Linked DNA regions of Bombyx mori. The protein of the gene in region 1 interacts with the protein of each later gene in a pairwise test. Links are inferred from orthologs where the notes say so. Each region holds a gene or a part of one and is shown on either strand. Other genes may lie near its edges.

The links.
Region 2: the proteins of Cdc2 (region 1) and cyclin 3 interact in binary tests that used the Drosophila melanogaster proteins (3 or more experiments, as listed by UniProt). The link is inferred for Bombyx mori from reciprocal best matches to the Drosophila melanogaster genes Cdk1 and CycB3.

Annotation. Positions count from the first base shown.
Region 1 is NC_085122.1:10,042,409-10,059,492, reverse strand, and holds Cdc2 (cell division cycle 2), read left to right. Parts: upstream 1-9,455; 5' UTR 9,456-9,466; coding exon 9,467-9,615; intron 9,616-9,735; coding exon 9,736-9,880; intron 9,881-10,281; coding exon 10,282-10,416; intron 10,417-11,107; coding exon 11,108-11,217; intron 11,218-11,545; coding exon 11,546-11,659; intron 11,660-12,523; coding exon 12,524-12,626; intron 12,627-13,296; coding exon 13,297-13,500; 3' UTR 13,501-14,504; downstream 14,505-17,084. Other genes in the region: uncharacterized protein LOC110385314, read right to left, coding at 1-5,243, 5,668-5,921, 7,516-7,560; zinc finger protein 431, read right to left, coding at 15,767-15,880, 16,663-16,746. UniProt on the Drosophila melanogaster protein: Plays a key role in the control of the eukaryotic cell cycle. Required for entry into S-phase and mitosis.
Region 2 is NC_085110.1:17,326,410-17,343,627, forward strand, and holds cyclin 3, read left to right. Parts: upstream 1-7,802; 5' UTR 7,803-7,979; intron 7,980-8,189; exon of another isoform or gene 8,190-8,191; 5' UTR 8,192-8,201; coding exon 8,202-8,501; intron 8,502-10,037; coding exon 10,038-10,309; intron 10,310-10,870; coding exon 10,871-11,087; intron 11,088-11,289; coding exon 11,290-11,541; intron 11,542-11,818; coding exon 11,819-11,974; intron 11,975-12,407; coding exon 12,408-12,582; intron 12,583-12,755; coding exon 12,756-12,919; 3' UTR 12,920-14,620; downstream 14,621-17,218. Other genes in the region: peroxisomal ATPase PEX1, read right to left, coding at 1,458-1,626, 2,434-2,587, 3,088-3,328, 4,366-5,470, 6,275-6,493, 6,968-7,060. UniProt on the Drosophila melanogaster protein: Cyclins are positive regulatory subunits of the cyclin-dependent kinases (CDKs), and thereby play an essential role in the control of the cell cycle, notably via their destruction during cell division.

The DNA.
Region 1 (17,084 bases):
TGTTAATTTCTGTGTCTTCAGTATTTTGAATACCACTCCTAGTTTTTAAAGGATACTTTATTTTAGGAAACCTAGGTTTTGCTGTAGTAGTGGGTATGTCTTTTGTTTCTTCTGTACTATCTTCGTGTCTAAATACCGGTCGTTTAATTTCTGTGCATGGTTCTTTCGCTGGAGCTTTTAAAGAAACTATTTTACTTGGGGATACATAAGGATCCATATCTTCAATATTTTGAAGTCGGCCCTTCGTTTTCATCGGGTATTTTATCTTAGGTAGTTGTGGCATAGCCGTCGTGGCACATTCCTCTATATCTTCTGAATTATTTTCGTCTCTGAAAACTGGTACTCTTAACCTTGTATACATTTCTGGCCCTCGGGATTCTAGTAGAGACCCGTCTGCTTCTGTTCCTTCAATATCTTGGACTCGAGCTTTTGTTTTTATAGGATACTTAATTTTAGGTAACTGTGGTTTTGCTGTGGTAGTAGTAGGATCGTCTATTTGTTCAGAATCAGGTTCTTCTCTGAAAACTGGTGATTTTAACCTAGTATACAATTTTAGCACTCGAGATTCTAGCGGAGACCCATTTGTTTCGATTCCTTCAATATCATGTATTCGGCCCTTGTTTTTTAAAGGATATTTAATTTTAGGTAAGGGTGGCCTAGCTGTCGTAGTGGGACATTCCTCTATTTCTTCAGAATTGTGTTCGTCTCTGAAAACTGGGACTTTTAATCTGGTATATATTTCTGGTACTTGAGATTGTAGGGGAGACCCATCTGTTTCTGTTCCTTCACTATCATGGGCTCGGCCCTTCGTTTTCAAAGGATATTTTATTTTAGGTAAGGATGGTTTTGCTGTAGTAGTAATACGATCGTCCATTTGTTCAGAATCCGGATTTTGTCTGAAAAATGATACTTCTAGTTTATCAGGCATATTATGCTTTCGTGTTTTTAGCGAAGATTCGTTTGATTCTGATTCATGAGTAGCTTGAACTCGACTTCTAGTTTTCAACGGATACTTAATTTTAGGCCGGGTAGTTTGCACTGTCGTAGTAGGAATTTCTTCTGTATCTTCAGAATTGAGTTCCTGCCTAAATACTGGTGAGTTCATAGTCACAAGAAGTTGTTTCGCTCGAGACCTTAATGGCTTATTATCACTCAGAGATTCACTTGGTTCTATTTCTCTATTTTCAAGCCCCATTACTCGACCACTTGTTTTTATTGGATACTTAATTTTTGGTAATTTAGGTTTGACTATAGTTTCATTACCTTCTTGAGCTTGTCTTAAAGAATCAGAATCATCGGAGATAGCTACAATTTTCTGTTCCATACATGTGTTGGGGTATTGAGATCTAATAGGTGCCACTTGACTGGGAGATTCATCTGCATCCATGACTTTTTCGTCGTTGTCTTTTATACGTTGACTCCTAAAGCTTATTGGACTTTTTATTCCAAATGACTGAGATGCAACGTTAGTATTTTCGCTCGCTTCGTCGTTGACCATTTGTTCATAAGATTCATATATTGTGTGGTCGTTAAAAGGCTTATTTCGGTTTATTTTTAAGGAGGAATCTAATTTGGACAACTTTTCTTTTATATTGTTTCTAACTTTTGATAAGAATGAATATTCTTCAGTATTTGGCCACGAAGTTGAAGTTAACAGTTTGTTTGCTTTATAGTTCGATGAGCTTAGTGAATTACGGCTTAATGAACTACCTTTGTCGCTTTCAATACTTTGAGCTTTAGAAAAATAGGGGAATTTGTGCTGGAATTTTAATTTATCTTCATCGCCACGCGTTAGTTCTTTTAGATCTTCTTCATATTCCATTGATTTCAATTTAGAATTAATTTCAGAATCTCGTACTTTTAAAGGCACTAGTGCACTTAGCGACTCATTAGTATCAGTAACGGAGCCTAAAGATTTTCTATTATCTGAATTCTCATTAGATAGAGGTGTAAATGATACTTTAAACTTGTTTTCTTTCTTAGCTCCTATTTTTTTTATTTTCGTATTTTGTGTGGAATCCCTTAAAGCTGCGCTTCTAGAAAGAAGATCAGATAATCTACTGAAATTTTGTTGTCGGTCCGGAGAATTCACTGGTGGGTCAATATATGCCATCTTTAATTCAGGAACTTGGATACTATAAGGTATAGGAACGCTAGCCGCTGTTGGCATTCTAAATTTTTTCATTTTGCCACTATCTACGTGATTCAGACGTGATGCTCCTAATTTGGTGCTTTTATCATCATTAAGACGAGATACTTTCTTGACCTTAGAATTAACATTCAACGAATGAGGTGAGCTGCGTAAATTTCCACTTTGCTTATCCTTAAATAAAAGTTTACTTTTCGACATAAGCCTTGTCTTATCTAGAAGCTGTTCCTGGAATGAAGTAAGGCGATCATTAAGGTCGTATTGAATGCCTTTTAACTTTTCACTAAAATCATCCCTAGTTCCCGTTAACTTCTCCAATATATCATGTGATCTTAACGAATCCCCGAAAACGTCCATAGAATTAACACCATATAAGGAGCTCTCAATTTTTTCTTTCATATCCGCAAGAGTATCTTCTGCACGTTGTCGTAAATTATCAGTTATACTCAAAATATCTGGTTCAAATATTGATCCTCTATTGAAATTTATTGGATTTTGTAATAAATTGGTTGTGTGCAATTTCAGATTTTCTCTAATTTCTTGTAAACCAGGTAAATTTGGCATCGGGGTAGCATAAATTTCATGGAACCTAGATTTTGATTGCGGACCGACAGAGAAAGCAGTCCCAATGAGACCTTCTCTGTTGCCTAGACTCGATTCGAATATCAAAGGCTTCATACCTAGATTTTTAGGAATAGGCAATTTGGCTCTGTAAGTTTTTAAATCAACTCTCGGTATATTTTTCGGAAAATAATTAGGTAATGTTAGAGGTTTTAACTGGAATATATCTAGATTAACGTCTTCAAGTGGAGCCAAAGGTGACCTCGATCGTGACATAGGCGAACTCTCTTCTGCTGTTATCATTTGACTTTCTCTAACGCAATCTATTTGTTCCTTTTCGGATTCTCTGTCGTGTGGACTGAAAAACTGTGTCACTTTTTCTTTTATATTATCAAGCGTTGGTAGAATTAAACCAGTCCCAGTTTCTGATCTAAATAAATCAAAGTTAGGTTGTACTACTTTATCCACAGAAAGCGCTGATTTGAAATTATTATCTCGTAGATAATCAAACGGATTACGTTGGATACTACTCATAATGGGATTACTTCCTTCTGCTGTCATTTCAACTGGATCCGCCCCGACACTAAGAATTCGTGAACGATTTTCTTTTTCCGGCTGGTTAGAGACGCGAGCTTTTGTACTATCTTTTATAGAAGTGTCTCCTTCGTCATTCTGTAAATCATCTTTGTTAATTAAATCACTCTGTAGATTGTTAACCACTATTGTAGCGTCATTTGGCTTAGGTAGGCTGGCTCTACTCGCTTCACTCCATTTTTCACAAACAAGATTATTTTCATCTTTAGCACCGTTCTCACCAGCAATACTCAATTTTAAAAGTGTGTCGGATAAATCCTGTAAATCATTCATGCTCATTTCACGAGAAACATTATTTTTGTCAATTTTCGATACCCCCGATTTATTTTGTAATTCATAATTTTCATTAAAAGTGTTCTGAGCTTCAATAACATTGCTTAATAGTGAACGTTCTGGGTTTTCTTGTGTTGAATCACTCAAAACATTTTGATTAATTAATGAATTCTTTATAAATTTGTCTTGTAACAAAGGAATATTGTTAGAAAATTCTGGCTTTTCGTCTGCACTGTGAACATTTTTTTCATTTCTGTTTATATATTTTGGAACAGTTTTCGACAATTTGTCTAAAACAACTGTTTTAATTTCAGTATTTTCTGGTATCATATCATTCTGGATGGAATCTTTTATATCTTCTTCGTGAAATATGTTACTAGTATTATGTTTGTTCGTTGTGTGACTATCGTTGACCCTTGTTCCTTTATTCCAATTAGAATGATCTCGATTTGGAGCCACTTGAAATAGTGTATTTAATAACTCCGTATTTAATATTTCTTCTGAATTTTGGGACCTGCTAAAATTTTCTGAACTAATTTCATTGCTATTAATAAATTTTTGAGCCTCTTCGTTTAAATTCTCAAATGAAGAGTCATTTAATAGTTTTCCCTCTGTGTCATTCATAGTGTCACTCTCATTAGAAAGATCCATTGTTTTATACTCATTAGTAGGCTGAGCGACTTCCTCTTCCTGCCTCTGCCTACTGCTCTGAACAGTATCTTCCTCTTCATTTTCAGTATCTTTGAAATCGATCCACTTCCGTTTATTGATATCGAATTTCAAACCATTGTTTGTTAAATCACTAAGAATTGATTTTCTATAATCTTGTTGTGAAGCTGAAATTTGTTTTAAATTCATTTTACCATTCATTTTATCAACTAACTGAATTCGCTTGGGAAGCTCTCTTAATATTAATGAATTATGAAATAAAGGGTTTTTATTCGCTGTTGCTTTTGTCATCTCTATTGATTCGAATTCATCTTGACTCCGCGCAACATTGGCATTTATGTCACTGGCTGCTAAATCTAAATCATTTTCGACGCCTTCAGCTTTTTTAATTTTCATCGACTCAATTATTTTTGTACTAAAATTACATTGTTCCTTGTTCAATGCTTCACTGTCGTCAGATTGATGAATAATAGACTGTCCTTGATCCTCGAAAAATTCAGTGCGATCTCGTTCTTGGTTTGTTAATGGAGATTTTAGCATGGGTGCTTTATTGGTAGTCTCTTCATTTCTTTCCAAAAATTTACTAGTGCTGACACCGTTTCCCACATTCAAAAGCTTTTTTTGCAAGAACGTTAGGCGTTCGACTTGAGGTAATCTTAAAATATCATTTAAACCAGAATATGTTTTCGATTGTATTTGCTTTTTGATTGTACTCCCAAGTGGGTCAAGATATTTAGATTCTTGAGAATTTTGAGAATCTAGTGTCTCTTCGGTATCTCGGTCGTCTACAGATCTCTGCGGTAGTATAATGGTTACAGTATTCAGTGCGCTTTCTTCTGGAACAGCGTCGTCATTAGCATTGGCTCTCGCAGCATCTCTAGCAAGTGCATCTTGGTATTCTTCTTCAGTAGCTTGACGCAGAGTCTCGAGAACAGATGAAGCTAGACCAACTTCTGGCTCTAGCAGATTCTTGGGGTCTTCTTTGGGATCCATTAGTCTAAACAAAAAAACTCACTGTTTGATCTAATCATTTGGAATATGTACCTAAAGGGACGATTCGATCATTAAAACTGATATATTTTGCTAACGAATCGAAAACACGCTCAGTACATTTTTGCAGATAATGAAGACATCCGTATAACTTACTTATAAATATACTACTTTATACTGGGGCTGAGAATTATTCTACTTGCAGCAAGCGGGTACAGACGAATTGTATATAAAAATACATTCAGTGACTGATTCTACCAAATACAAACGAAAACACAGCATTACGCTAATTTGGTCACAATTTATTCACTTGTTAGGTGCTTGTGTGAAGACAATGTATACACATTAATAAGCCAGAAATTTTCACACATATACGAATTGAACTATAGTTTTTTTTTCATAATCACTACAATTTTTCAGCATACTCTTACCTGGTGGCAGCTCCAGACCGCAGTGCAGTTGGGAAGATCATAGATGACGATCCTTCAGAATCCCTAGGTAGACATGGACATTCGTCATCGAGATTCGTTTTCAGAGAACCGTCTCCGGCAGTTTTTTCAAGCCTCCAACTGGTTTTTGAGGTTGAATCAGCATTTTCGGGGCAGGGACAGCAATCACTGATGTCCAATTGTCTTGACTGTCTTCCATCTTGAGTAGTCTCCGCTGTGATTGGTTGTAGTGAAACCTAAATATTGGATCATACGGATAACATATACTTTTGATATTCATAATTAAATCTCTTTTTTAGTAAACCTTTTTTCCGTGGTCGTCAGAGGACAGCATAAAATCACGGGTCAATTAAAAAAAATGTTTACGATAAATTTTTATGAAATCGTGTAGTAATTTACAATTTCAATTTCAATTTCAATTCAAAATTTCCATTTATTCTTTCCCTAAAAATCTTATTTGAAATTTTACGCACTTTTGATCATAACACAATGCCACATACGGTCAGTCCATGAAATACACATACCAAAACATACATAGTATTTCTTTGATTTGTTTTCAGGAAATCTAAATATGTATGTCGTTTAAAGCCCAATTGCCGAAGCGTCACTTTTATTTTTATTTTATTGCTTAGATGGGTGAACGAGCTCACAGCCCACCTGGTGTTAAATGGTTACTGGAGCCCATAGACAACTACAACGTAAATGCGTCACCCACCTTGAGATATAAGTTCTAAGGTCTCAGTTTAATTACAACGGCTGCCCCGCCCTTCAAACCGAAACGCATTACTGCTTCACGGCAGAATTAGGCAGGGCGGTGGTACCTACTCGTGCGGACTCACAAGCGGTCCTACCACCAGTAAAACTTTGCAAACTATTACTATATTACCTTTACCATTTGAATAGCACTTGGTGTATACGAATCACGTAACCTTTAGGTCATGTAGTCTAATTATTGTTAATGAGTTTTCTAAACGAGGCTGGATTATATAAAAGAAAGTCTAGCTACAAAGAAATGTGACAAATTAACTATTCTCAAATAAAACAATAACTAACTTAAGAAACAAAACGCAGCCAACTGGCACTAATAAATAATAATAATAATAAAATGGGAAATCGATCAATCAATCCAATCTTAGCAGTGTTTGTTATTGGTCCCCAAACTAGAATTTCCTACACAGTTTTAGACTTATTTTTTTACTTTTGTTTAAAGTCCATGTGTAAATATTATACACCCAAACAAAAATTTAAAAAACATGTAGAGCACACGAATGTTTGCCCGATGTGGGAATTGAACTCAGGACCCTCGGCCCAGCAGTCAATGTCGCTAACTGCACAGCCGTATCAACGAAGTGTTAGATATATTTATATCGCATTGGATAAAAACATTTACTCTACTCGCATTATTAAATAATAATTGTACGTACATAATCAACAGAATAATTAAGATAAATTAGTTATTTTAATTTTGAAAAATAAAATATATAAACTATAAGTTTAGGTTTATTGTAAAAACGTAATTTTAGTTTTAATTAAAGTTACTTATAAATAGAAAAGCTGTGTTAGCTCACCGCCAGTTGGCAGCGTTCCCAGAAGGCTGGCAGCATTTCCACGCTGGATAGCAATGCTAATTCTTTGTGCAAAATACGTACCGGCCTTCTGGTCTCCCGAGGCCTCAAATAGTTTTCATTATTCAAGAATTCGCATTTCATTAATCAAGAATCGAACAGGGAATTACGTCTGTACGAACTACGCCCAACACGATTCCTCTTAAGCCAGGCTGAATATTCTTCCAGCAGTACATGCTACTTAAAATTTTTTTAAAAAACTCACCCTTCCTATCACGAGAACATTGGTTACCAGCACAAACCGCCACATTGTCCACACGGGCTGACATTAGTGAATAATATCGAATTATCAACTCCATCGCCTATATTATATTCATATTGATAAAAATACATGTGTAATGTCACGCTTGGCCGTACATACGTGATTTGAAAATATGCTGAGCTAAACAGTATATAGTTTATCAATTTAACGTTATCTAGATTATTGACCCACAAGTTAAAGTATGTAATATAAATCGCCGTGTTCTATTGTAAATAATATAGTGCATATTATTGATTCTCAGAAATTTGACTGCATGATGTTAATGCGTTTTAGCGGTAGGCAGTGGCTTGGCTCTGCCCCTGGCATTGCTGAAGTCCATGGGCGACGGTAACCACTCACCATCAGGTGGGCCGTATGCTCGTCTGCCTACAAGGGCAATAAAGAAAAACTTTAAATAAATGGGTTCAACGTACAATGGGCATTGTCAGAGTATTTTAATGCTTTTATTAACAGCATTTCGTGATTGTGTACCGGTCTTTATGCATTGCTTGTATTTTATGACATAGAGCCGGTACGGGAGTTTCCACCATATTACTTGTTTCTGCTGCAAAACAATAATGCGCTCAAGGGCAAAAGTTTACATAGAGTTCAATTGAGAAACAGATTAAATTATCTGTAGAATTTGAGTATGATGAATTGCTCTCATTACCTCTCTCTGGCCGAAATCTTGGACCTTATTTTACCTTAACCCTTAAACTTTAAGGGTTAAATCAGACGGCATTTTAATAAAAGCAGTCGCGATCGGGAATCGAATAAAATTAAATCCGATATCAGTCTGGAAATACCAAAATCGGTTCAAATTTGTAGGTACCTAAAACAATTATACGACTAGCATTTTTAGAATTCAAAACAATAAAAGATTCTCATTTATTACTTTAAAGTACAGACTGTCGCTACAATAATGGCGGATATGAATGAAACACGGATATCGAGCAACGATTATTGGATATTTTGAAATCAGACTACCTAGTTAAGATATAAAATGTTATGCGATCCAATAAAAACATAAAACACGTTTGAGGTCTTAAAATGAGAGAAATGAGAAAAAAACGCGTTTATCGCGGATATAAAACAAGCTATAGCAAAAAAAATCTAAGCCTAATGTGATGCCTCGAAAAAAAGATCGATTGTGACTATTTATGACCTTAAATCAGATTGAAAACCATAAACAGTTATATTTAGTTAAGCTTTGTTTTCCACACATTAGGGTACCAACAGATTCATTTCTAGTGTTGCACGACGAAAACTACTGTAAAAATAATGTATCGTTGCTTTCCTGTGTAACTCTTAACAAAATAAATAAATTAATTAAACTAATATTTATATTTTACTTTGAAATGATTCAGTTTGCATTATTTAAAATAGACTAATGCTTACAACGTATGTATGTACGTCTTGCTTTTCAAATTAATCTCTCTTTGTTTGTCTATGATAATGTGTTCCGATACCATTCATAAAACATCAAGCTTTTTGATATGCATTTTTAGTGTTCTAGTACTATCTCATTCTAGCAACAACAATTTTGTCTATTGAAGTAGCACATTTATGCTATTCTAAGCGTTATTTAACTCTGAAACAAGTTAGTCATAAACAAAGCATAGACACATAAATTGACATAAATAGTCCACTTCGAAAATTTTCAAAAAGTTTTCGTTTGAAAGACGTTGAAGGGATAAACGTTAGAGATTGTAAAATAGTAAAACATTTAAAATATTTCCTAAAAAGAACAGAAGTGACTTGAATTAAGGATTACAGTCAAATGTTGAGACATTTATGAATTTAAAACACATAAAAATTATTAAAACACGCATTTTGTAGGAGTAAGAAAAATTGCATGGTGTTGTGATTTTTTTGTTGTGGTCTGCATAAAACCGCCAAAATTCCTTACTACAAGATGGATGATTTCTTAAAGATAGAAAAGATCGGCGAAGGTACTTACGGTGTCGTTTACAAAGGAAAAAACAAAATAACTGGTCAATTTGTAGCCATGAAAAAAATTCGCTTGGAGTCCGAAGACGAAGGCATACCATCCACGGCAATAAGGTAAACGACGTAAAATTGAATGAATTACTTGCACAAAAACAATTATATTAATTAAAAACACATTCTCATGCATTTGAGAACATAACCTATATTAACCAGAACTTCTTGAAAACATTTCAGAGAAATATCTCTACTTAAAGAACTGAACCACCCTAATATTGTCAAGTTGGAGGATGTCCTGATGGAAGAGTCGCGACTTTACTTAATCTTCGAATTCCTCTCTATGGACTTGAAGAAATATATGGACTCCCTTGGTTCTGGAAAGGTAACATAACCATGCCTTAAATTAAATTTTACAACAAACTATGACGCCTGTTTGAAGTGTGTCCACAATCATATAAATTGTAGTACAATGCTTAAAATATAAAAAATTGTTAATTAGGACTAGTTGCATCTTTGGAGTTTTTATTTCTGAAAAAAAAAAACTTTTTTGTTTAAATAAACTGCGAAGGTCTCCTGAGATAATGCGTCAGCAGTTGACCATGGCTGGGATTTGCCTCTAGAATTGCTGATTTCCGCAAGACCTAGATACAACTCACCATCAGGTGGGCCATCTATAAATGCAATAAATAAGTCACACAAGACAAGGCAAAGTAATTCTTAATGTTAAATTTTGTAACAGAGTAAATTTTTGTAAAAATATTGGTTATCATTATTTATTTTCAGTTCATGGACCCATCTGTAGTTAAGAGCTATCTATATCAAATCAACAATGCCATCTTGTACTGTCACCAACGACGGATCCTGCATCGAGATCTCAAACCACAGAACCTACTCATCGACAAGACTGGAATCATTAAAGTGAGAGTATTTTATGGTGATATTAATAATTGCAAAAAGATATTAAAAAGTGCTAAACAGTGAGTCTTGGGACCAGCAAGAACCCTCTCGATAATTCTAGACTACTGACAGCCTTTTTATCGTTTTAAAAAAAGTTGTAAATCAAAACCAGTAACATGAAACTATGGACGCTATATAGACCATGTATATTGGTGTTGATACTGACTGAACAGTGTCAGTGCTATTACTATAGGTCAATGTGAAGGCCTTTTTTTTCTACCTAACCTGATAGCCTTGAGAGGCTATATCAGCGTAACCTTAACTAATAGGTGAGCTCACGGGGCTCAAACCTGATGACGTTGCTAACACGAACCCTAGCAAGAGCCGTGCTTCGCAGAATCTACCACTGGATCAGAAACGCGACCCACTGAGAAGATCCGGCGAGAAACTCAGTGGGCTGTGTCTGAGGGTTAATTTACTCGTCGAGCCCTTCGTCGCAAGCGACGGGTTCGACGAGAACGATGATCGGTGCTTGAGGTACCTAAAAGTACTGTTAGTGGATCGGGAGGATCCGAAATGACGTGTGTGAAGGCCATGTCATAGTATATTTGTTCAAAATATAGTTTTACCAGTTTGAAAAGTCAAACACTGACATTAGACAATGGTCATATAGTTTTATTTTCTTCATAAATACCTAATAAATTTGTGACAGGTTGCAGATTTTGGTCTTGGTCGAGCATTCGGTGTTCCAGTGCGGGTCTACACACATGAAGTTGTCACATTGTGGTACAGGGCTCCTGAGGTCTTACTAGGAAGTCAAAGGTAAAATCTTATCCAAATCAGTCAAAACCAGCCACTACAAACTCCAATATAACTTTTCTATAATGAGTAATCAATACACATTAGTTGTAATTTGGCCCAATAATGAAATGTATTTTAGAAAAAACATTTTGTTTTAAGAGCTTTAGACTTTGTTTTCTAAAAAATGGCAAGTTGCATTGTAAATTCATAGAATAGTGTGGCAATACATTGCCACTAATTGTTTCTTAATACAAAAGAATGGTCAGTGACCGTGTGGAGTTCATTATTTGGTAGATTATTTATTTATTTATTATTTATTTTGTATAATAGTAACTTGTCTTACTTTTAGATACTCTTGTCCAATTGATATATGGTCAGTTGGCTGTATATTCTCTGAGATGTCATCAAAGAAGCCACTGTTTCAAGGAGACTCTGAAATTGATCAACTCTTCCGCATTTTCAGGTGAGTAGGCATTTCGCCATTTTAGTGGTAGGCTTTGGCTATGTATTTCTGAGGTCCATGAGCAACGGTGACCACTTACTGTGATGCTTGTCTGCCTTAGATTTATTAGAGTTAAATCTTAACAACAATAATTGAAAAAAAAAAGTTTTTTATGCTCCCTTCAACAATGGAATGTAACTGGTGCTTAGAATAAAACTCTAGTTTTGGATTAAAACACAGATTGAACACTAACTAAAATATGATGTGGACATTCAAGTTTTGGTTGTTTTTTTTGGGTGTGCAATTACTACAACAACACTTATATAACAGTTAATAAATTTTAAAAAAACCTGTTGTTGGGGTAATTAAATTATAATAATACTATTTCAACTTGATTGAGTGATTTCCTTCCAATAAAAGAATGAATATAATGAAATGTTTGACTTACATTTACAGGGCAGTAAATATGATTATAAATATGTAATTTTGAAGTATGTAGAAAGAAATAGAAGACTAGTTTACATATTGTTAGCCTCTAAAACTTCTGTTTATCCATTCCATTCCCGGATGTACCTCCACTTTCTTGCGACCTTGCTTATACCTGATATTAGCTTAAATAAAACAAACTATATGTGTAAATTCAAATCAATAAAGTGTGAAATTCTGAACAGATAGATTTGCTCCATGCATAATTTCCAATGAAATGGAGATACATGAATGAACTAAACTTCTAATATGGGATTTGTGACTCCCAATTTTTTTTGAGTTAATTTTTCTGACTCATTTTCCAATTTCGTTTATGATCAATGTATATGGTATCTGCTGGAGTACACTTTTTCTTATTAGTAACTATTTAAATCACAAGATCTCTTAATTTATTAACAGAATGCTAAGAACGCCAACAGAAGAGATATGGCCTGGTGTTTCTCTCCTACCAGACTACAAGCCAACCTTCCCGAACTGGAACACGTACAATCTGCACAATCATGTACGTATGAAGCATATTTTATTTTAGATTTTTATATGTCTATTGTTCTTGAGATATTTCCAGATATATGAAAAACTAATTGAATTCTATTACATAATGAGTGACACTACTCCAGCTAGCCAAGATATTCCCTTGGGATTTTAGTGAAAGTTTATTTTAGCAGAACCAGCTGTTAAAAGTTTTGTGTGTGTGTGTGTGTGTGTGTTGTATAATGTTTTTTTAATATATTTATTCTGGACTTTGATGTCCTGTTTCTGTCGTGAAGCACTTATGCGTTCCAGTTTGTAAGATGGGACAGCTCTTATGTGATTTATATTGAAACTTCGACCTCATATCAAAACTATCTTTCTTCACTTTCTTTATCGCTCAGACTTGTGATTGAGCATGTGGCCCACCTATAATAACGGTAACGGAATCTAATAAACAGCATTTATTCATGTCATTAACGACACAAATGCCGCCACCCATCTTGGAACATAAGTTCTGAGTCCCAGTTTTACAGTACAATAGTTGTCTCGTCATTCAAACCAGAATACGTTACTGCTCGTGCGGACTTACAAGACTCCCCAACACCATTTAAGCTATATTATATTATACTAGTTATTATCAATGACGTGACTGAGTTAAATCTTTTCTTCCTACCGTCAATTGTAACGTGCATTTTTTACAGGTACAAAACCTAGACGAAGTGGGCATGGATTTGTTACAAAAGATGTTAGTCTACGATCCGGTTAAAAGAATATCCGCGAAGGACGCGCGACGACACAAGTACTTTAGAGACGTGAAACTACCTCCCGGACTGACAGTGCACGACGCTTACATCAGAGTGACGCCAGAATACCCATACGACACGGATTCTGTTCAAAGTGTATAGGAGACACGAATCATTAGAACTAGGTGTCATTTATAAAGACTACAAATATATTTTCAGAACGAATACAAAGTACAACTCAGTTGGGCTCCTCTGTCGCAATCATTGCATTTTAATTTGAGAGATTTGAGGTATGTTCTCTATACTGTATTCTCCACAATTCGCATCCAATCTCCTTATAGTAGAACCTTAATATTTAAATGTACTTTATTTTATCGAATTTGATCTAAAAATTAAATTAGTCAATTCAGATTATTGAAAAACTAAGACTAGTAAACGCGAGACGTAATTTAGTTAAAGCTTTGAACTTAAATAATTTACGTAAAGGCTTTTTAATGAATTTGTGTGTCTGTGAAGTTGGGATTTTAAACCGTCGAGAATAAATGAATAGATGTGAGTTATTTTAAAGCTATTTCGGCGAAGAGCTTAATTTTTAAATCAAGTCACTAGGTTTTAAATAGTGACCATAGAAAATTATTGTTTGATTATTATAGAAAAACGTGTCATAGTTTGTTCGAAGTTGTACAAACCTTCATAGTTTTAACTTTGAATGTTGGTTTCGTTCATTACCTTAACACTAATTTGAGAATTATTGATAGTTAATTAACCTTGAATAAATTAATTCTCGTTGTCTAATCGTGTCGTGTATACATCTTTGTGTCGTTTTGTCATGTTCGACTTATGTTATAGGATAGTATTTAATTATTTCTTCTGTAATAATATTACTGCCAAATAGTTGTCTTCATTGAACTGTTTAATAAGTTTTTACGAACGCTGAAATGCTTAATAACCTCAGACACCAAAGGCTAAAGCAGTAAACTTAGTGCATAAAAAACTAACCACAATAGTTTAATTATCATTACAAACTAACTTTGGATTTGGATAAGGGTTCCTTTCGACTAAAATACCTGTTTAATAATATATAAAACTTGCAGTATTATCATTCACGCCTTCAAAGAAATATTCTGGAGCTTGTGATGATCATAATAGTTTGTTAAATATAGTTTGATATGCGGCAAATGTGATTTATAGGATTATAAGTCCCATTCGAATAAAATCATTTTTGAAAATTATTATTTTTCAAACTATTCGCTGTGCAAACTCCCGGCGTATCAAACTGTTTTCAACAAACTATAGGACTCTGAACGGTTTTTACATACATTTATTAGTAATGCATTTGGAGATAAGTTTAACTATATTGTTCTGTATGCTGTTGAAACATCGTGTGACATGAGAAGTATTTTATATGTATTTTCATGGAAACTTAATTAATTTAAACTTAATTATCTGTCCAATTCATGTTCTTCATACACTATTATGTCATCTAAATAAATAAATACATAAGATCAATAGGTTGTACTGCAAATATTTCTTTAGTATAACAGAATTATAAATTGAAATTGTTTTAAATCTCTTCAATTAATATCTAATACCAACAACGTGTTTCTTTTTCTTCTAAAATAATTGTAAACAGTTTGTTTTTAATAGTAAAGCATAATTATTTATTTAATTGATATATATATATTACATGTTTGACGTGTGGGTGTTTTAATAAATAATATGAAAAAAGACGTTTTGATAAACTTTTGACAAGAAACAAATGTAATATTATTTTCTTAAGTTTTTGCCAATTTCTCTGGACCGCTCATAAGTTAATTTTATTTTTAATTATATGTAATGGAATGTGTATTTGATTGATAATATTTTTAAGCATTGTCTTAATTTGTAAAGTATAATAATAATTTTAATATAACTGTGTTGTTTTACTGAAACAAGAAAGTTAATTGACAATTCGTTTATTTTTTTCTAATAGAGCTATGATCAAAATTGTACATAAAATATACAGAAGAAACACTAAAGCTAAGTCATATGCTATCACCTCCTGAAAACTATTACAATATAAAACCTAATTATTATTCTGGTATTAAATAATTTACTACTGTAAAAGAAAACGTTTGATTATTATAATAATACAACAATATCGACTTTGAAAATAAAATTTAAGAAACAAAAAAATAAATACAACTAACAAATATGGGTAGCAGTACTTTAACATATGTACTTTCATTGCTTTTAAAATCCTACAATTATTATTATAATAATAAGTATTTAATTTTATTTACAGATCTATAAAAATCAACAACAAATTCTGATAAAGCTACTTATATAAAGTATGCACCGCAGACTATATTTAATTGACAGGAAAAGTACGAATAAAAATCGATTAAAATATCACCTCAAAATTTCAATCGATTATTCGATTTTATTATTAGTGATGTATGAACACGTGAGGGTGTCCCGGTTGAGGCTGCAGTATGATGCGATGCGGCACGTTGATCTCCTGCTGGCCCAGGCCCGACACCGCCACCGTCCCCGGCTGGAGCTGTTCATACAATCACAGTATACTGATACTGGTGGAGGGACCTTTTGTGAGTCCGCACGGGTAGGTACCACCGCCCGGCCTATTTCTGCCGTGAAGCAGTATTGCGTTTCGGTTTTAAGGGTGGGGCAGCCGTTGTAACTATACTGAAACCTTAGAACTTATATTTCAAGGTGGGTGGCGCATTTACGTTGTAGATGTCTATGGGCTCCAGTAACCACTTAATATCAGGTGGGCTGTGAGCTCGTCCAACCATATAAGCTATAAAAAAAATCTCTGTACTGCTAACTAATCTAAAGTGTAGGACGAAGTAATTAAAATTTAGACCAATTGTTTCACGTTGAAGTGTCCTGATATGTTTTTAGACAATATAAATAATCGACTATTAAATATTTAATTTCTTAGGAAAATTAATTAAAAATCAACATATGTCCTTTTTATATTCCTAAAACAATCATATGGTTGTGATGAGACTTAATACAGTTATTTTTTTCTACCTATTCTAGTGACTTCGAGGGGTCATACTATTATGACCGAGTACTAGTATGAGTTCACGGGGCTCTAATCTGAGGACGTTGCTAACACTGACCCTAGCAAGAGCAGTGCTTCACAGAAACTACCACCGGATCGGAAACGCGACCCACAGAGTTATTGTCTGCACACCAAGGCACTGTCTTAGCACTATCACTATGTAACGAGTGGGCTCATATAATCGGCGATGGTCTGCCCGTAATGAGTTTCACTTGAGAAATAATTAAACAAAGTGCCTATTAAGGTTTGTTTACCTGTAGAATGTTCGGGAGCATCGTTTGACAGGAAGAAGTGGCGACGTGAAGCTGTTGTTGTTGCACTTGTTGCACGCCGACCGCCTAAACAAAATTTTGAGTCTCTTAAACATTGTTGTTTCAAAAGCTTGAGGTTTTTACTGGTGGTAGGACCTCTTGTGAGTCCGCGCGGGTGGGTACCACCACCCTGCCTGTTTCTGCCGTGAAGCAGTAAGGCGTTTCGGTTTGAAGGGTGGGGCAGCCGTTGTAACTATACTAAGACCTTAGAACGTATATCTCAAGGTGGGTGGCGCATTTACGTTGTAGATGTCTATGGGCTCCAGTAACTGCTTAACACCAGGTGGGCTGTGTGCTCGTCCACCCAAAAATGCAATAAAAAATGTAGATCATCCTCATTACAAAATATACTGCATTCATGAAAA
Region 2 (17,218 bases), on another chromosome or scaffold:
CCCATCCTTCAAACCGAAACGCATTACTGCTTCACGGCAGAAATAAGCGGGGTGGTGGTACCTACCCGTGCGGACTCACAACAGGTCCTACCACCACCAGTCAATACACGACATATTTTATTTTAGTAATTATGCTAAAAGTCCCTTTCATTTGGTATCAACATCAACAGTTCGATCAATTCGACAACAATCAACAAATTAAAGAGCGGACGGTTAGCGTGGCATGGACATGTGATGCGTAGAGAGGAGATGCATATGACTAAGAGATGTATGGAAATGGTAATGCAACGTAGAGAGGGGGAAGAGGTCGACCGAAGAAGACATGGATGGAGTGTGTGAATGACGATATGAGAGAGAGAGAGAGAGAGGAGTGAGTGTTGAGATGAAGGCTGATAGAAAATAATGGAAGAGAAAAATTAGCTGAGCCGACCCCACCTAGTGGGATAAGGTGGAGAAAAAGAAGAAGTTCGATGTTTTTAATTGAACTTCATTTAACTGTACTCCATTCAAATAGTTGAACTAGTATTTTTGTTACGATATTTTTCCAAATTTTAAACTTTAAATTACTCTCTTCTAAAGTCGCAAAAAATGTCGCTTAAACCAAATAGCCTTACACCCCTCAATATTATATTCATACATTTAATATAGATTTTTTTTTTCTGACATTGAAAATTAAATTAAAATATTTAATTTTAAAACTATGCACATAATGACTACATGGACAACGCAAAGGATTTTTCTGTTCCAGTTTTGTTCGTATTTCACGCAATACCGCATGACGAATCCGCGACCGATGATATCATAAATGCAGTTTTTACGTGAGCAAAAATAACCGAAGTCTCAACAAAAACACAGTTAATTATTTTTTTAACACGATTTAACATATTAATAATAATATTGTGGCGGGTAGCCATCACAGTACACAAGATATTTGACAGATGCCTGAATCTCGCTTACGACATTTTCAAGATAAGCTTGCATATACTGGGTATTAGGAGAACCGCTTTCGAAAACGAAAACAGACGATAGTACTAATGACACTTTTGATGATGGGACGGAAAAAAAATCGATCCTGATTTAAAAAAAAAAACATACTTTTAAAATGCTTTATTAGCATTACTTACACTCCATCATGTTAGTACAGCTAAATGAAACGACAGTTTCATAAAAAATACATTACTTTACTTTTTACAAAAAACCAGCAATGAAACACAAAAACACAAACAGCTGATGCTCGGGTCAACGAACGCCCGGGCGCGGCGCTGATACCGCGCTCCCCAAAATTTACAACTTTGTAGGTAGGTACAAAACTTTCGTTTTCGGAAACAGTCTCTTAACAACCAGTATACAAATTCCGAACAACAACATTCGGACCGTCGGTCTACCGAGCAAATCCCACCAGCTCGGTGGAAGATCTTCTCATTCGTTGTAAACCTCCACAATATAATTACACTTACTTTTCATCTTGACGGCTTTAAATATCTTCTTATTGAAGTGGTCGATGATGTCCCGCACTGTGCACGAGGCGGTGTCCATGGCCAACGTGATGACGTCATCGTCCGCTACCTCGAACTGCTGACGGATCTTCTCGTTCATCAAATGCTTGAACAGCTCCACTCTTTCATCCTGAAAATAAATTGTTTTGTGGTTCGAATGGGTGGACGAGCTCACAGCCCACCTGGTGTTAAGTGGTTACTGGAGCCCATAGACATTTACAACGTAAATGCGCTACCCACCTTGAAATATAAGTTCTAAGGTCTCAGTATAGTTACAACGGCTGCCCCGCCCTTCAAACCGAAACACATTAGGTACTGCTTCACGGCAGAAATAGGTAGGGCGTGGTACCTACCTGTGCGGACTCACAAAAGGTTATCACACCAGTAATCACAACGTCCAAACATTATTGCTTCGCGGCAGAAATAAGTAAAATTGTGATACCTTCCCGTGGGATTTCACAAGACGACCCATCGCCGCTAATTATTACCCACATTTTATTTTTACGGGTTTCATATTCATTGGAAGTGGAGCCTCATCTTATTTTTTAGAATTTGGAATTTTCACTGGTGGTAAGACATCTTGTGAGTCCGCGCGGGTAGGTAACCACCACCCTGCCTATTTCTGCCGTGAAGCAGTAATGCGTTTCGGTTTGAAGGGTGGGGCAGCCGTTGTAACTATACTTGAGACCTTTTAGAACTTATATCTCAAGGTGGGTGGCGCATTTACGCCGTGAATGTCTATGGGCACCAGTAACCATTTAATATCAGGTGGGCTGTGAGCTCGTCCACCCATTTAAGCAATAAAAAAAAACTGTTTGAAGGCGTCATTAGGCGTCATTACTATTATGAAAAAGGTAAAAAGTGTGACGTCATCATCATCGCCCCCATCCTATCCGTGAACACGTCGAACACAACATGTCGTCGTCTACTGTCTCACCTGTTCAACTTCAGGTATATCGAAGTGCGCCGTGAACAGCGGCTTCCCGTTGAACTGCCTGAGGACCGGGTGCAGGGACTTCATTGAGAGTGACGTCATCAGCACGCACACACCCGCGCACGTCTGCAGGAGGTGCTTGATGACCACGGCTAATCTAATAACGGAATAACATTGTACATAAGATGGTTTCTCCCCACGTTCTGAGATATGGACTATTTTTTTTATTGCCATATAGGCGGATGAGCATACGGCCCACCTGATGGTGAGTGGGTATCGTCACTCATGGACATCAGCAATGCTAAGGGCAGAGCTAAGCCGCTGCCTACCGTTTGATACCCTTCACAGGCCTCGTCTGAAGAAGGACATGTCACGGCGCTCGGGAAACACCGTGGAGGGGAGCTCATTCCAAAGCCGGATTGTACGTGGCAAAAAAATCTCTGGAAACGCACTATGGATGAACGCAGTGGCTCCAGGTAGTATGGATGAACTCTACTCCGATGGCGGGCGGTGCGATGGTAAAAATGAGATGATGGTATCATCTCAAACAATTCCTCCCCATGGAACATACGGTACAAAATTCAGAAGGAACCTAAGTCCTTCCGCAGACTCAGAGGTTCCAAACGATCCGTGAGAATAGGATGAACTAACATTTACCTCTGATAATACGCTATATCCTGGGGCGAAACTCCCTCCATATCGGGCGGTACCATGGAGTCCACGTCGTCGCAGATCAATACAGCCGGACTGTGCTCTTGGCACATGAGGATAGCTTTGCCCAGGATCTCCGGTATATCCTTACGGCCCCTGAGCGCCCTGCAGTGCAACGTATGAGACCAGACCGTCAGCTCCTTCTCGATTATGTGACACAACGATGTTTTACCCATACCACTGGACCCTGTCAACAAGTCGTCACATTCTAACACAAGCTCTTGCCTAGTTATTAATAAACAAGGTACAACTAAATTTTGTTTAAATTGTTTTTGAAGTGAAACTTCTATAGACGCGTTGAGAGTAAAATTTAACTCGCGACAGATTCGTTACGGCCAGAGAGAAAAGATACAATTTATGAAGAGCGAGAGTGAGAGAATAGAAAGAGCGTCTCGCGAACCACTCTACCGTGTAGAGAGAAAGTACAAAGCGAGCTAGGTCGTTTCTTGCCTTTGTAGGTAGACGAGCATACGGCCCACCTGATGGAAAGTGGTTACCGTCGCTCATGGACGTCAAAGTCATGAACGTCAATGCAATGCAGTCTTTTATACACAGCTTTCGCTATTACAAGAGATATTAATTTAGGGATGAAAAATGAAGAAAACCATAATACTAAACACCGCAAAAGAAGGTTCACTTCTTTCATGTGCACCAAGTTGTACGCGCACCATTTTTATTGATTTCAACAAGATAGTTAGGCCCGATATCCATAATATATCTCAACTTAAAAAAGACTTATCTCTTGTCGTTGATGGATTAATTGCATAATTTTCATATCAGAACGCATAATTAGAACCGAACTAGCTAGGAATTTAATTGAACTAGGAATTTAATGATTTTCATAATCATTATGAGCTTAGTTAAGAAAATTAGTGAAGTTACTTCATCTTGGAGAGGCTAAAAGAGATACACTGATAGCAGTATACCAATTTCTGCATACCAGTTTCTTCTGAAAATCAGTCCGATAGACTATTATCACGCAAACTCCTCTGACTCTGTGCCTGTGCTACGGATAATCGAGCTCTCTGGTACCAGAGTTCATTGCCATCAAAACGTGAATTGTCATTTTTGAAACAACAAGCTAAAGTCACGGATGTTGCCCGGCAAAAATAAGAATCTTACTGTCTAATGACGGTCCCACCCTTCAAAGCTTATAGCTTATACCTTACTGAGCTAGTATACCAGGTGTAAAACTATTAATTGACGTTAAAAAACTACACTTGCCCGTGATCAGAACGTTGCTTTTAATCTCTGATGCATTTTTAAACGTCGCCTCTCTATGTATTTCGAAATACAAATGCGAGAGAACTTTACTGATCAAAGTCTCTATTGATTTCAATGTCCTGCAATAGTTCTTGAAATCATACTCCATGCGGGAGGCGCTGCGTTTCGGCAGGACTAAATCCGTGTCGTTAAGGCACGTTGCCTTCGTAGTGAAATGCCTCAAACTCTCCGAATCCAAGAGGGTATATTTCAAACCGTCTGGTTTCAAATTGAACCGCAAATAACCATCGCTTATCTGACTATTCTGCTTAACTATGCCGTTATTTATTAAAAATCTTTTGCCTGAATGCGTGTTCTCTATGACGCATTTCTTGAATCTGTCTATAACATCGACTTCTGTTTGTTTTTCTTCTGTATACGTCACCAATTCAATGTGCACAGGTTGCTCTACCGTATCCCCGATTATGTTGAATATAATTCTCGTTCCATTCTCAATGTTGATAATGGCATTCAACGATTTCGGTATCAACACTGTCGGTATGTTTCTGTTGTACACTTCGCGGCTCAAGCTCCTGTATATGATACCGTCTATGGGCACAATTTCAACGCACAAATCGTTTATGGCGTTATTATTGTTCTCTTTATCGTCTTCATCAGTTTCGCTCAGAATCGAAGGAATAGAATTCATGGTCGATAATATAACAGTTAAATTTTTGAAGCATTCGTCTATTAAATCTTCATGTATGAAAACCGTGTAAGGATGTATCAAATTCTTTTTGCCGTCGCTGTCTATAGGTACCGAACGCAATACAAGCCTCTTTGGTGAGTTCAAATATGGACGAAGCATCTCTTCGTTTATTAAGCCTATATTTTTAAAAGGGCCATTGGGTTCGTTTGGCGCTGGAGGTTTTGTTTGGAAGCCTTGGTAGCTATTGAACGCGTTAACTTTAACGACTACGCGGCTCTGGTTCACTAGCAAGCCGGTCTGCTTCGGCGTGAAAACGATGGGCATCGATGAAAATATCCACACGACGCATTTTTGATGTGCCGCCACATATCGAAGCTGATCTAGTATTCGTAGCTGCAGTAATTCCGCATTGTGTTCCTGAATAATCAATCAATAAAAACATTAAGATATTCATTGTCAAGTCAATATTTTTTATATATATGTATTATAAATGTAAAAGTGTGTTTGTTTGTTGTCCTTCTTTCGAAGAGAAGCAAGGGATTGACATTAATTAAAAAAAAAAAATCATAGTATTAAGGCAAGGCAAGGCAAGAAAATGAAATATATAAAATGACAGACGTAATGCCTTGTAACATTGGACCAACATCACATTGACACATTTCCTTGACCATACGGCCGAAGCCTCGAGTAACAGCTAATATGCTTATAATTGTGAAGATGAGGATATTCATATCAAACTTTTCGAGCTCACACATAAACACTATAAATACATGGGAAAAAAATGACGTTCACTACTAATTATATTACAGATTCGTATTGCAGACGAGGCAAAAGCCCATCTAGTGTTGCGTGGTTAGTGAAGGCCATTGACATCAAAACGTGAATGCCGCCACGAATGCTTCAAAATTGTAAAGACACTTCCACCCTTCCAACTGTAACGCACAACTGCTTCATCATGGAAATGGGCAGGATGGTAGTACCAATCGATCAGTACGTACTTACACGCCTAACAACAAACAAAGTAATATGTTCACAAGAATTTTTTTACAGTAACATGCTGGCTGAATTATTTATCTACTAAATTATTCAATTTCTATTATTTGAAAATCTTTAAGATAGATACTTCACATTGAACAAACAAAAAAATATATAGCGAAAAAGTTTATCATTTATTTCTTTTTCATTGTTACTTCCACACCATCAAAACCTTAAAGATCTTACCAACAACTCCTGGTCATCAGGGCTGTCCGTATCTATATACAATTCATCCAGCACTCGCACATCACCGTATGGTGAGACAAACACATCAGCTCCCTCATCTAAGCCAATCAGTTGACTATGCACTGGATTGCAAGCTATTTGTCCTTCCGCAACACCACTGCTGTACACCACCCATAAAAACAGGTGCTTGTCTTTGTATAGAACTTGAAGGCACTGAGACTGTAAAAGATCTTTTTTTAATTCTCATGTCATAAATTTATAAGAAAATAAAAAAACAAAAACAGATTAGATTTGATTTTAGGGTACAGTATATAGGCTATATGACTCATCATTACACATTTTAAAAGGATCTACATTTGTAACTGTTCGCCAGTATGACTGTATTTATATATCTAATAAATGTTCTATTTGAATATTAAAACAATTTATTCTTTATTAAATCTAAATAATAGCATGTCTACAAACTACATAAAAAATTGAAATATTTTCAGAAAATCTTTTTTTTATAATTTTTAAACAGGGTTTATTTCTTAATGGGATCAATGACCATTTCACATATTATAATGCCAATTAAGCCAATGATAAACAAATTAATAACCTAAAAGTGAAATCTTTGTATTGATGCATTGTAATAAAATAAACCTCCTGTCTATCCAACATTTCATTATTTAAATTTTAATTGTTTTTCTTTACCTGTTCATTATTACTACTGTACTTTGGACTTATATATGCGAAGCAAGTTTTTTCGTGAGTAAACACTACTTTTAGTTTAGCACCTCCTAACATAATGAAATCAACATTCACTCTTTATTAATCTTATATTTCAATGCTCTTATGTGTAATTTGACATAATAATTTAATGTTTTTAAATTAACGATATAAATATTTAGGCAGTATCTTTGATAAATTTATGTAGGTCTAGACATAGATTATACACTTAATATAATTGAGAGGTCTAGACTTTACATGACAGACTTTTTGTTATCATAATCATTGACGTTCCAGCTTCAAAAAAAAATTCGATATCTTTAGCATACAGCAATGAAATTTAGCAAATAAATGCTGTTTACTTCTGCTTTCAAATATCTATAGTGTAAGCTTTCATACCACGTGCAATTTAAAAAGTATTGTAAAGTATAATGTTAAGCAAAACATCTCATTATGTTTCACACTTCACACTCTAAATGACTCAAAACGGCTGAGAGGAATAATTCGTCTATGTCTATGCAGTCTCTGACATGCTAAAAATGTTTATAATTTTCCAACCCACATTTAATGTCAGTCTAAAATTCCATTCCATTATTCTCAACTTTGTTAAGATACACATCACATTACATTTTCGTTTACATTACTCAAACACAAAGTATGATATTTTATTTCTAAAATTAAACAAAGAGTTTTTTTGTAGAATACGCCACTCTTGAGAACTTCTACAGGGTAGCTTTTATTAAGTCGGCAATTATGGGAAAAATTTACGTTAGTTTCACCTTCGTAAATCGGAACGTAGCTCTTGCAAAATCTATACTCTATTGGCTAGGCCATTAACCAATTAAAATTCAAAGCAGCTCAACGGTTTTTAAAGACGTATCTGTCGTGTCGTTGTTAAAATCTTTAGAATTTATGAAAAGTTTGCTCTAAATTCTCAGCTAGGAACCTAAAATTGTTTAATCAACATCTATAATATAACGGCTCGTGCCGTTAAAAGGTGAGTAGAAAATAGTCGTTAGAAAACCGTTTAACGCTGTGTAGACTTCGCTTGTTTTGCCTCCATTTTAGTCGTTAAACATGATAATTTTTAAATGCTTGTTTATGTTTTTACTTTATACTTCTTGTACACTTTATAAATGAACTACCTACTGAGTTAGATAGTACGTTTGTACAGCACGTGATTGTGAATCGTCTTCTTTATTATCACAGTAGGTCCGTAATGGCGCCAACAAGATTGGCAACGAAACCGCTCGGCGTCAACGAGAACCTGAACGGCATGTTAAGCCACGGCATTACGACGAGGAGTAAACAGCTAGCTTCTCTAAAGAGTCACAAGGACAGTCTAAAAATTCCCAATAAAAGGAAAGCGGACAGTCCTCTTAAAGATGTGACTGCGAAGAGGGCGGCGTTCGGAGATATAACGAACGCCTATAACAAATCGTGCGCGCCCCAGGACAAGGATAAAGCCATGCCAGTGAAGAAAGTCACTGTTGAGACCAAAATGCTTCCAGCAGTAAAGGTTTGTTGAACTCCAGAAACACTTCTATTCAGAGGGTATCTGCTTCCTTTCTGTATGTTAATATAAACTGATCAAGATTTACGTTTATAATACCTAAATAAAATTCTAAAGTTATTTCCCTCCAAATTTAAACAGGAGCATACTATTACCTTACAATATTATTTACAGCTGTTTGAATCATAAACAACTTCTTATTAATATGTTTTCTCCATATGATCATGTTAGTTGTTCATTACAGATTTAAAAATATTTTAACCTTATGTATTGCTTGTAGTTTTAACAGATTTTGAATAAATAATAAGCCTTGATTTAATTAGTTATACAATGGAAACAGTAGTTATAAAAGTAAGTCATAAGTAAGAATTTTTATCACACATGGCATTTTTATGATAAACTGGAAGATTAGGGATAAGTAAAGTTATTTCAAATCCACAATAACTAATCATTGATAGGCTTCATAGTCATAAAAAAGAAGATAGATACATAGTTTGAAGTGGTTTACTTGGTAAATATACAAATTCACCAGAAATGAAACTAACAATATTATCCATAAAACATTGTAAAATTGGTGTAACTTGCAATCTAATAATCAATATGGGTAATACCATACCTTCTACATCCATGGACAGATCAACTGCTTGACTGACCTATAATTATTGTGAATTATATTTTTCTTCTACAAATTAACTAATCAAATATTCTAAACATCCATAACTGGATGTCTGCCTATGTAAGTATGTATATAATATCATGGCTTTTATTATTTGTATCTAGGTGACAGAGGTGAAAGCCCTTCCTGTGTTAAGTGGTTATAAGAACACATTACTGTGTGAATACTGTTATTCATATTGAAACATAAGACCAAAGTCTTGGATTATATAATGGCTGATCCATCCTTAAAACTGAAATGAATGATTATATTTTATTGATTAATATGATTATATTTTTATTGATCAATATGAAGGCCTACCACAAATAAGCAGGACAGTTATACCTGCCGTTATGCCTTCACAACACTAACGTAGTACTAAAGGATTTTTTCATTCATTTCATAATCACACTATTGCTCTTTTTACTTAACTAAAGTAATGACTGAATTGAATGAAATGTTTGAAGAAATTGATTTTTAATTGGAATAGTTTAATAAACCTCATGAAATTCAAATGTGAACTGAATTTCTGTTAATATTGAATTAATTATAAAAACTGACCACTGAAATTCATTTTTTAATTACTATTTATTTAAAATGATACTTTTCATTAAGCTTCTTTCTTTTAAATAATGTCAATATTATTTAATACAAATAGTTATACAAAATATAATACAGATTAATTCATATTGAATTAGTCTGTTAATTAGCACCCTAAACTTAATGGGAAGAACCAATTTTCTTTTTTTATTGAGTGATGAATACATGGTAATTGTTTTGAGACGAGCAAGAGTACATAGCCAGTAGGCAACAACAAAGTTAGCTGTTCTGTGTAGTTTCACTTCTTTGATCTCTTAAATTGAACTTCCAAACTACAAATGTTTCAGAGCATCAAATCACAAACAAGCACACTAAATGGCAAAACTTCAAAGACCAAACAACTCCAGCGGGTAGCCAATAATGCTATTGATGCAGTACAGAAACATTTCACCAAAGACCCACCCAAGCAAGTGGCCACAAGAGCTCAGAATGGCATCCTGAAGAATTTTGAAAGGAAAGACAAACTCAAAGAGCAGAATCTGAGTAATGGTTCAGTCAAATCTGCAAGAAGTGATGTTTCCGGTGAACCCTCACTTTATATGACTGCCTTGGAGAATATGTAAGTACAAGTAGGTAGTTAAAAAGTAAATAGTATTTGAAACATATTCGAAAATTAAAAATTATTTTAACTCCACATTTTAATTCAAAGCCATGAGATATTGAGCTCCGTTCAAAATTCTCCAATTTAGCTAATCAGGAGTTTAGTATAAATCAATAACCAACCCCTACATGATCAAATAGGCAGACATGATTAGGTGGTATACCAGTCATTTATTATTAACCTATGCATATCCATTATATGCCACTTACTCTTGTTATTAATTGATCATGCATTACAATTTGAGGAGTAGGTAGCTTATTTGTCAACCAACTCTAGATATTTGCTGTCAAGTGACTCCAACCACCCATAAAACCTCAAGGGTACAAAAATGATCACCTTCATCATGATAGATTTAATTGATGACAGATAATGAACATGATAAATGAAATAGTTTACTGACAATTCAAAATTTATAAAAAAAATTAACACCTTATTTTTATAATGTTTAAAAACAAGGCGAATAAACATCACACCGATGGTATTTTTGTCTTCCATAAGCCACATTAACCTCTTTTTCAGTAGCCCATCTGAGGTAACTAAAGAAGAGTACAAACAAATCAGTGAGAAACTGAACAAAGTAAACTTGGATGACACATCTAGGTCTTTGGATGAAGAAACAGAGACCCCTCATAAAACTCCTTCTGGTGTTCTTGACTTTGACTTTGAGAATTGGAATGATCCACTCCAAGTATCTCATTATGCTATGGACATATTTAATTATTTGAAAAACAGGGAGGTGAGTTGTGGTTTTACATGGTTTTACATTTAAACTTTTTTTTATTTTCCAAATATCATTGGTTAATAAAGTATAATTTATTTCATTTTTATTTTAAATGAATTCTGATATATTAAGGTATTATTCATGCATTTACTACTCTTTATAACTGTTACTCCAGACAACAGTTGTTGTGTAATAAAATGAAATTAATTTCTTTCAGCGCCTTTTCCCTATTGACGATTACCTGAAACGTATGAATGGAATTACATCGTGGATGAGAGCGCTACTTGTAGACTGGATGGTTGAAGTTCAAGAGAGTTTTGAACTCAATCATGAGACCCTGTATTTGGCTGTGAAGCTAGTTGACTTGTTCCTTACTCGTTCAACTAAGAATGAACAAATAGAACAACTGACAAAGGAGGAATTGCAACTATTAGGAGCATCTGCCTTGTTTATAGCTTCTAAGTTTGATGTGAGTAGTTTTGTGCTCAATGTTTGTAAAAAAAGAGTAACAATAGATGCACAACACACCATTGTTTATATTATTGTGATTAAAACTTAAATTTATGGTATTAAGGTATGTGATGATCAAATTATGCCCTTCCTATTTCTGCTGTGAAACAATTGTAAAGGTTTAATATTAAATCTAGGAGAAGCAGATAATTTCAAACTTAAGCTCACAAATATTTTAACTGTGCATGCAAGTCAAAGCAACGTGTTGTCCAATCAGTCAAATAATGTACTTGTAGGAGCGCATTCCGCCCCTAGTGGACGACTTCCTGTACATCTGCGACGGGGCATATACGCTGAGCCAACTGCTTAAAATGGAGATGACTATTCTCCGGGTCATCGACTTCGATCTCGGCGTGCCGCTCTCCTACCGGTTCCTCAGGAGATACGCCCGGGTGAGAAACTGGGCTTGTTAGAATACAGATTTTTTTTTAGATAGTATTGTCTTACGTCGCCCATGTTAACACCTCTAAAAAAGAAAATTTCACAATATTATTACAAGACTGAAAAACTGTGTTGAACCACCGAATTTGAATTTGTGACACAAGTCTCGTTTTAGTACCACTGGTTAGTGAAACTGAAAAGCAACATTGTCTTATTATAATTGTGCACACATGTAAACACATTTAGTGTATTTTTTTGTATTATTTTGTGCCATACTGTATTGCCTAAGTAGTTTTAGTAGTATGACTCAAACACAGTACACAGTCTGATATATATACTACTAGACCATCACTATTATATTAAAACATTTCATATTCATTTGAAGAAAAAAAAAACACTATTTTCGTCAACAGAACATCATAATGTCAATTTAATTTTCAACAGTGTGCTCGTGTATCAATGCCTACACTAACACTGGCTCGGTTTGTGTTAGAACAATGCTTGTTGGAATATGGACTTATTGAAAATTCAGACAGTAAAATGGCTGCTGCTGCACTGTACCTTGCTCTCAGGATGAAGAATCTAGGTTCATGGACACCCACTCTACAGTATTATACAGGTAAATAAAGAAAACAATCAAGAGTATGTAATAATCAGACAGTTCATACAAAATTTTCAATGAAATTATACTGTTACTATAAGAATATAATTTCTATTTTTTAATAGAAAATAATTCAGAATAAATCATTCTATGTTCGAAAATAAATATAATGTACCTTTTATATTTTTCAGGTTACAACCTCAAAGAAATTCTCCCGATTGCATTAGCCCAGAATGCAGTTCTACACAAGAAGCCAAAGTCTGCGATTAGCACAGTTAGGAATAAATACTCACATACAATATTTTTCGAAGTTGCCAAAGTACCCCTAATAGACGAGGCGACGCTCACTAGCTGAGGAATAAGTACCAGGAATGTTGTATAAAGTTTAGTACTAGGGTATGTACTTAAGTTTTGATAGTTAGTTATACATGTAATCGTTAACAAAGCTGTTAGCCTAGTCGCCAAGATCAAGTTCTTCAACTACTAACTCTATCAGTTTCGGTATCTAGATTAGAAATTCCCTATACGCGTTCTCCTAAACCTAGCAGAGAATGTATACGACTAGGCTTGCTTTTACTAAATTTTACTGTCATAATTTGAAAATTATAGCTATGAAATTCAAATAAATATCTTCCTAGATAAACTTGCTTCGTCATCTGTAACACTACCAGTAAGCATTTATGTTATTATTAAATTGTCGAAGCCCTAGAGGGTAAAAGAAACAGGAGCGCCTGCCAAGAAATTGTTGCTCTCTTGAAAGTATTGTTCATACATATCTCTAGACTATGGTGTTTTGTACCAGTGTATTTGTTTGATGTGAAGACTGAAATATAATGTGACATAGCAGAGATGATATAAATTATATCTGGATACTAAGAGAATGTATTCTTACTTCTGTTAAGAAATAAAACGAAAATGAGTGAAGTTAAGTCATATTAATGATTCGGATTTTTTCTGCTAAAAATCAGTACCATTGGGAAATGTTAACCAAGAGTGTGCCATAATAGGCAAATGAAAGTCACAGAATCCTCTTCAACTATGGAGTTGATTACGGAACTAAAAGTTTCAAATATTGTTTAATTTGTATTTAAAAGAAAAACCAAAATCAGTAACCTCAAATAACATTTTGTACCAAAAATATCCAAATCAGATTCCATCTATTTTACAGTACTGTTTTTGATTAACTTGCTTTTGTTTAACAACAGTCTTCCTATAGAAAATTATAGGTAGTAAGTTTTGATAAAACTAGTTAATTATTTATTGTTTTATAATTCTCTCCGTACAGTCAATAATAAAAAAATCTTTAAATCAAAATTTATTATTCTTCAAACAATTTTAATGTTTTAACAGTACATTGAATGTACTTGTTGCTTCGAAAAATTTTAATTGGCTCGTTATTAACTAAAATTGAATATGATTTTGTTATTGATTGTACTTCATGTGCATTTTTAGAATTGCAAATGGTATTTTTTGGATTTGGTTTATCAGTAAGTTACGCTTAGACGTTTAGTATAATGATGCCTACTTAAAATACCTGAATAACTGATATGTGTAGGCTTAAAATATATTTTTAAAAGGTTAATTAAACATATTTAGAAAAAAAACGAAATTTATTACATAAAATTAGTAACTAAGTAGCCTCAATTTATTTAGTTAAAGAAGGATTGTATGCTAATCAGGACTATAGAATTGAATGAAAGCTTCAACGCAATTTTATACAAATGCAATTTTAGCGGATTTGCTAATATAATTTTCAATTTAAATTGTTATTAGAATGGATTTTGTAACATTTTTAATATTAATTAATTTTACATTATTTGTAGTTATTTGTGAGATTCACTTTCCACTGTCTTACGTTTATTATTATTTTTGTAATTTATCACGATTTTAGAGTACAAAATATTGGAATGTTAATAATGTTGTTCTTTTAATACTAAGTTTTTAGATGTAACTTTGAATACTGTTTTTTTTTCTCTTGATAGTATCTGTGCTCTAGTTATATACATGATTAATGTGAACCTACTGACTTGTAAATAAAAACGATTTTGGTTTGGTATTTTTATTTTTTTATTTATACTCCGTTTTTCAAAAAATAATAAAAGTTTTTTTTAATACATATAACAGAGAACAAGCAGTCATCTGACCCAAATTAAGATTCCCTGCGTTATGGGTAAATATTTACATATACTTAGTCTGGCCATAAATACTGTTACAATTAAAGATTAAAAAAATTCTATTGCAAATAACATTTATTACTTTTACAGTGTGTTAGTTTAATACATAAATATAAAACAATTTAAAGTATAAAAAGCTTCGAAGTAGTCTCCATTGGCTGCAATACAGTCCTTTAAACGTTGAGGCCAGTTATCAATAGAAGCACGCACTCTTTCCATGGGAAAATTTTTCACTGCCAATCGTACGGATTGTTTTATAGACTCCAAATTATCATGGCGTTTAGAGCAAGTCGTACTCTCTAAAACTGACCATAAATCATAATCCAGCGGATTAAGTTCGGGACTAGACGACGGCCAGTCTTCAGCTCTGATGAACTCCGAAACTTTCGTTTCCAACCACGATTGCGTAGACTGAGCTTTATGACCTAGCGCCGAGTCTTGCTGGAAGGACCATTCTTGATTATTGAACATGGTGTTGTTAAGGGGCTTCACTACCTTCTCAAGAACGGTATCTTGATACACTTATGCCGATGTTTTGATACCTTTTTCACAAAAGTATGGCTCAGTCACTCCTTCATAGCTAATACCCCACCAAACCATCACTGAAGTCGGATAGTGCCCACGTTGCACTCTGTCGACTAATTGGGAAGCTTCCTTAGAGCTTTGAGCATAAATACGGTCATTTTGTTTGTTAAAATCCTGCTCAAGTGTAAAAATTTTCTTATCCGTAAACAAAAAATTTCTATGACCTCCCTTTGCGTACCGCTTCAGTAGTTGTTTCGATTTTACCACCCTATTCTCTTTTAAATTATCAGTTAAGAAATGACCAGTATGTCTCTTATAGGCTGCAAGTCCTAAGTCATCTTTTAAAATACGCGACATGGTTCTAGGTGCTATCTTCATCTCCCGATATAGAATCTTTTGCTTTCGGACAGGATTTCTTTGAATTCTTTCCCTTACTGCTTTGACCACCTTTTTCGTACGAACACTACGTGGACGGCCAATCTTTTTCTGTCACAAACAGAGGAGGTCTCATTGCACCTATTAATAGCCCGGTACACAAACATTTTACTAATACCAAGCGTATGGAGAGTTTTAAAAATTGCGTTTGGCTCCATACCTACTTTGTGTAATGCAATCACAGCGATTCGGTTCTCTTTATCACCCCACTCCATTTTAATATCGCAAAATATTGTACAATGTATTGGCCCCAAAATGAGAAAACTCAATGAGCAATCATATAAAAATGACAGATTCCAAATTCAAACGTAATATTTTGTTCATTTTTAATTGTAACAGTATTTATGGCCAGACTAAGTATATATAGGTAGATACTAAACACCCAGGCAAAGAGCAAACAAACCTGTTCTTCACACAATGCCCTAAGTAGGAACCGAACTGGTGGAAGAGACCTCTTGTGAGTCCGCACGGGTAGGTACCACCGCCCTGCCTATTTCTGCCGTGAAGCAGTAATGCGTTTCGGTTTGAAGGGCGGGGCAGTTGTAACTATACTGAGACCTTATAACTTATATCTCAAGGTGGGCGGCGGCATTTACGTTGTAGATTTCTATGGGCTCCAGTAACCACTTAACACCAGGTGGACTGTGAGCTCTTGCACCTATATACGCCGTAAAAACCGTGACCGGTGCTTGAAGAGCTCAAAAGCACCCATAGTGGTTCCGGAATCCGATAAGACATGTTTTGGGCGACAGCGGCTTTGCTCTGCCCCGTCGTCTGGGTCGGATATGTAAAAATTGTGTTTTGATGACTAAATATCAGAAGGATCACGTTTCAATAGAATTTTTATTTTAAGAATATTAGATGTAAAACATTCTTAACTGCACCATATTATAATAATAGATTTATAACGAAATAATACTACAAAAAATATTGCATGTGATTTAATCACGTCTGAAAACAAATTTTCATTTTCAAATTTTTGCGTTCGTACACACTCCCAATTCATTATACATACAAAAATTACAAAATATCTATTCACATGTTCACATCACTACTATCATCGTGTTTACAGGATGTTACAAATTCCACGCGCAACTATAATACTGGTCGACAAAAACGATACAAAATCGCTTAAAATATTGGAAGACAGAATCGAACATTATTTTTAATTAGCTTTTCATATTATCCCAAAAACTTTAATTATTAGAGTGTATTGGGAGTTCTTTCGATGGATTTTTAAATATCTAAGAACATGGCAACACTGAACATAAAATGTCAGTGTTGCCAGTGAGTAGGGATTGGCCCGGTGCAGCCGAGAGCCTGCTGGGCCACGCCTTGCCCAGTATCATAGCTACTGCGATGCGACTCGTCGCGAATCTAATTACAACGTTCCTAAAATATATAATTTTATTCAAATTTTACAACTAAATTAATATGTACATTTACATAGCACAAAATACTTACATTGAAATGCACGTAACAACTTCGCCGCGTTTATTTATTTTGAGGTATCTAATCAA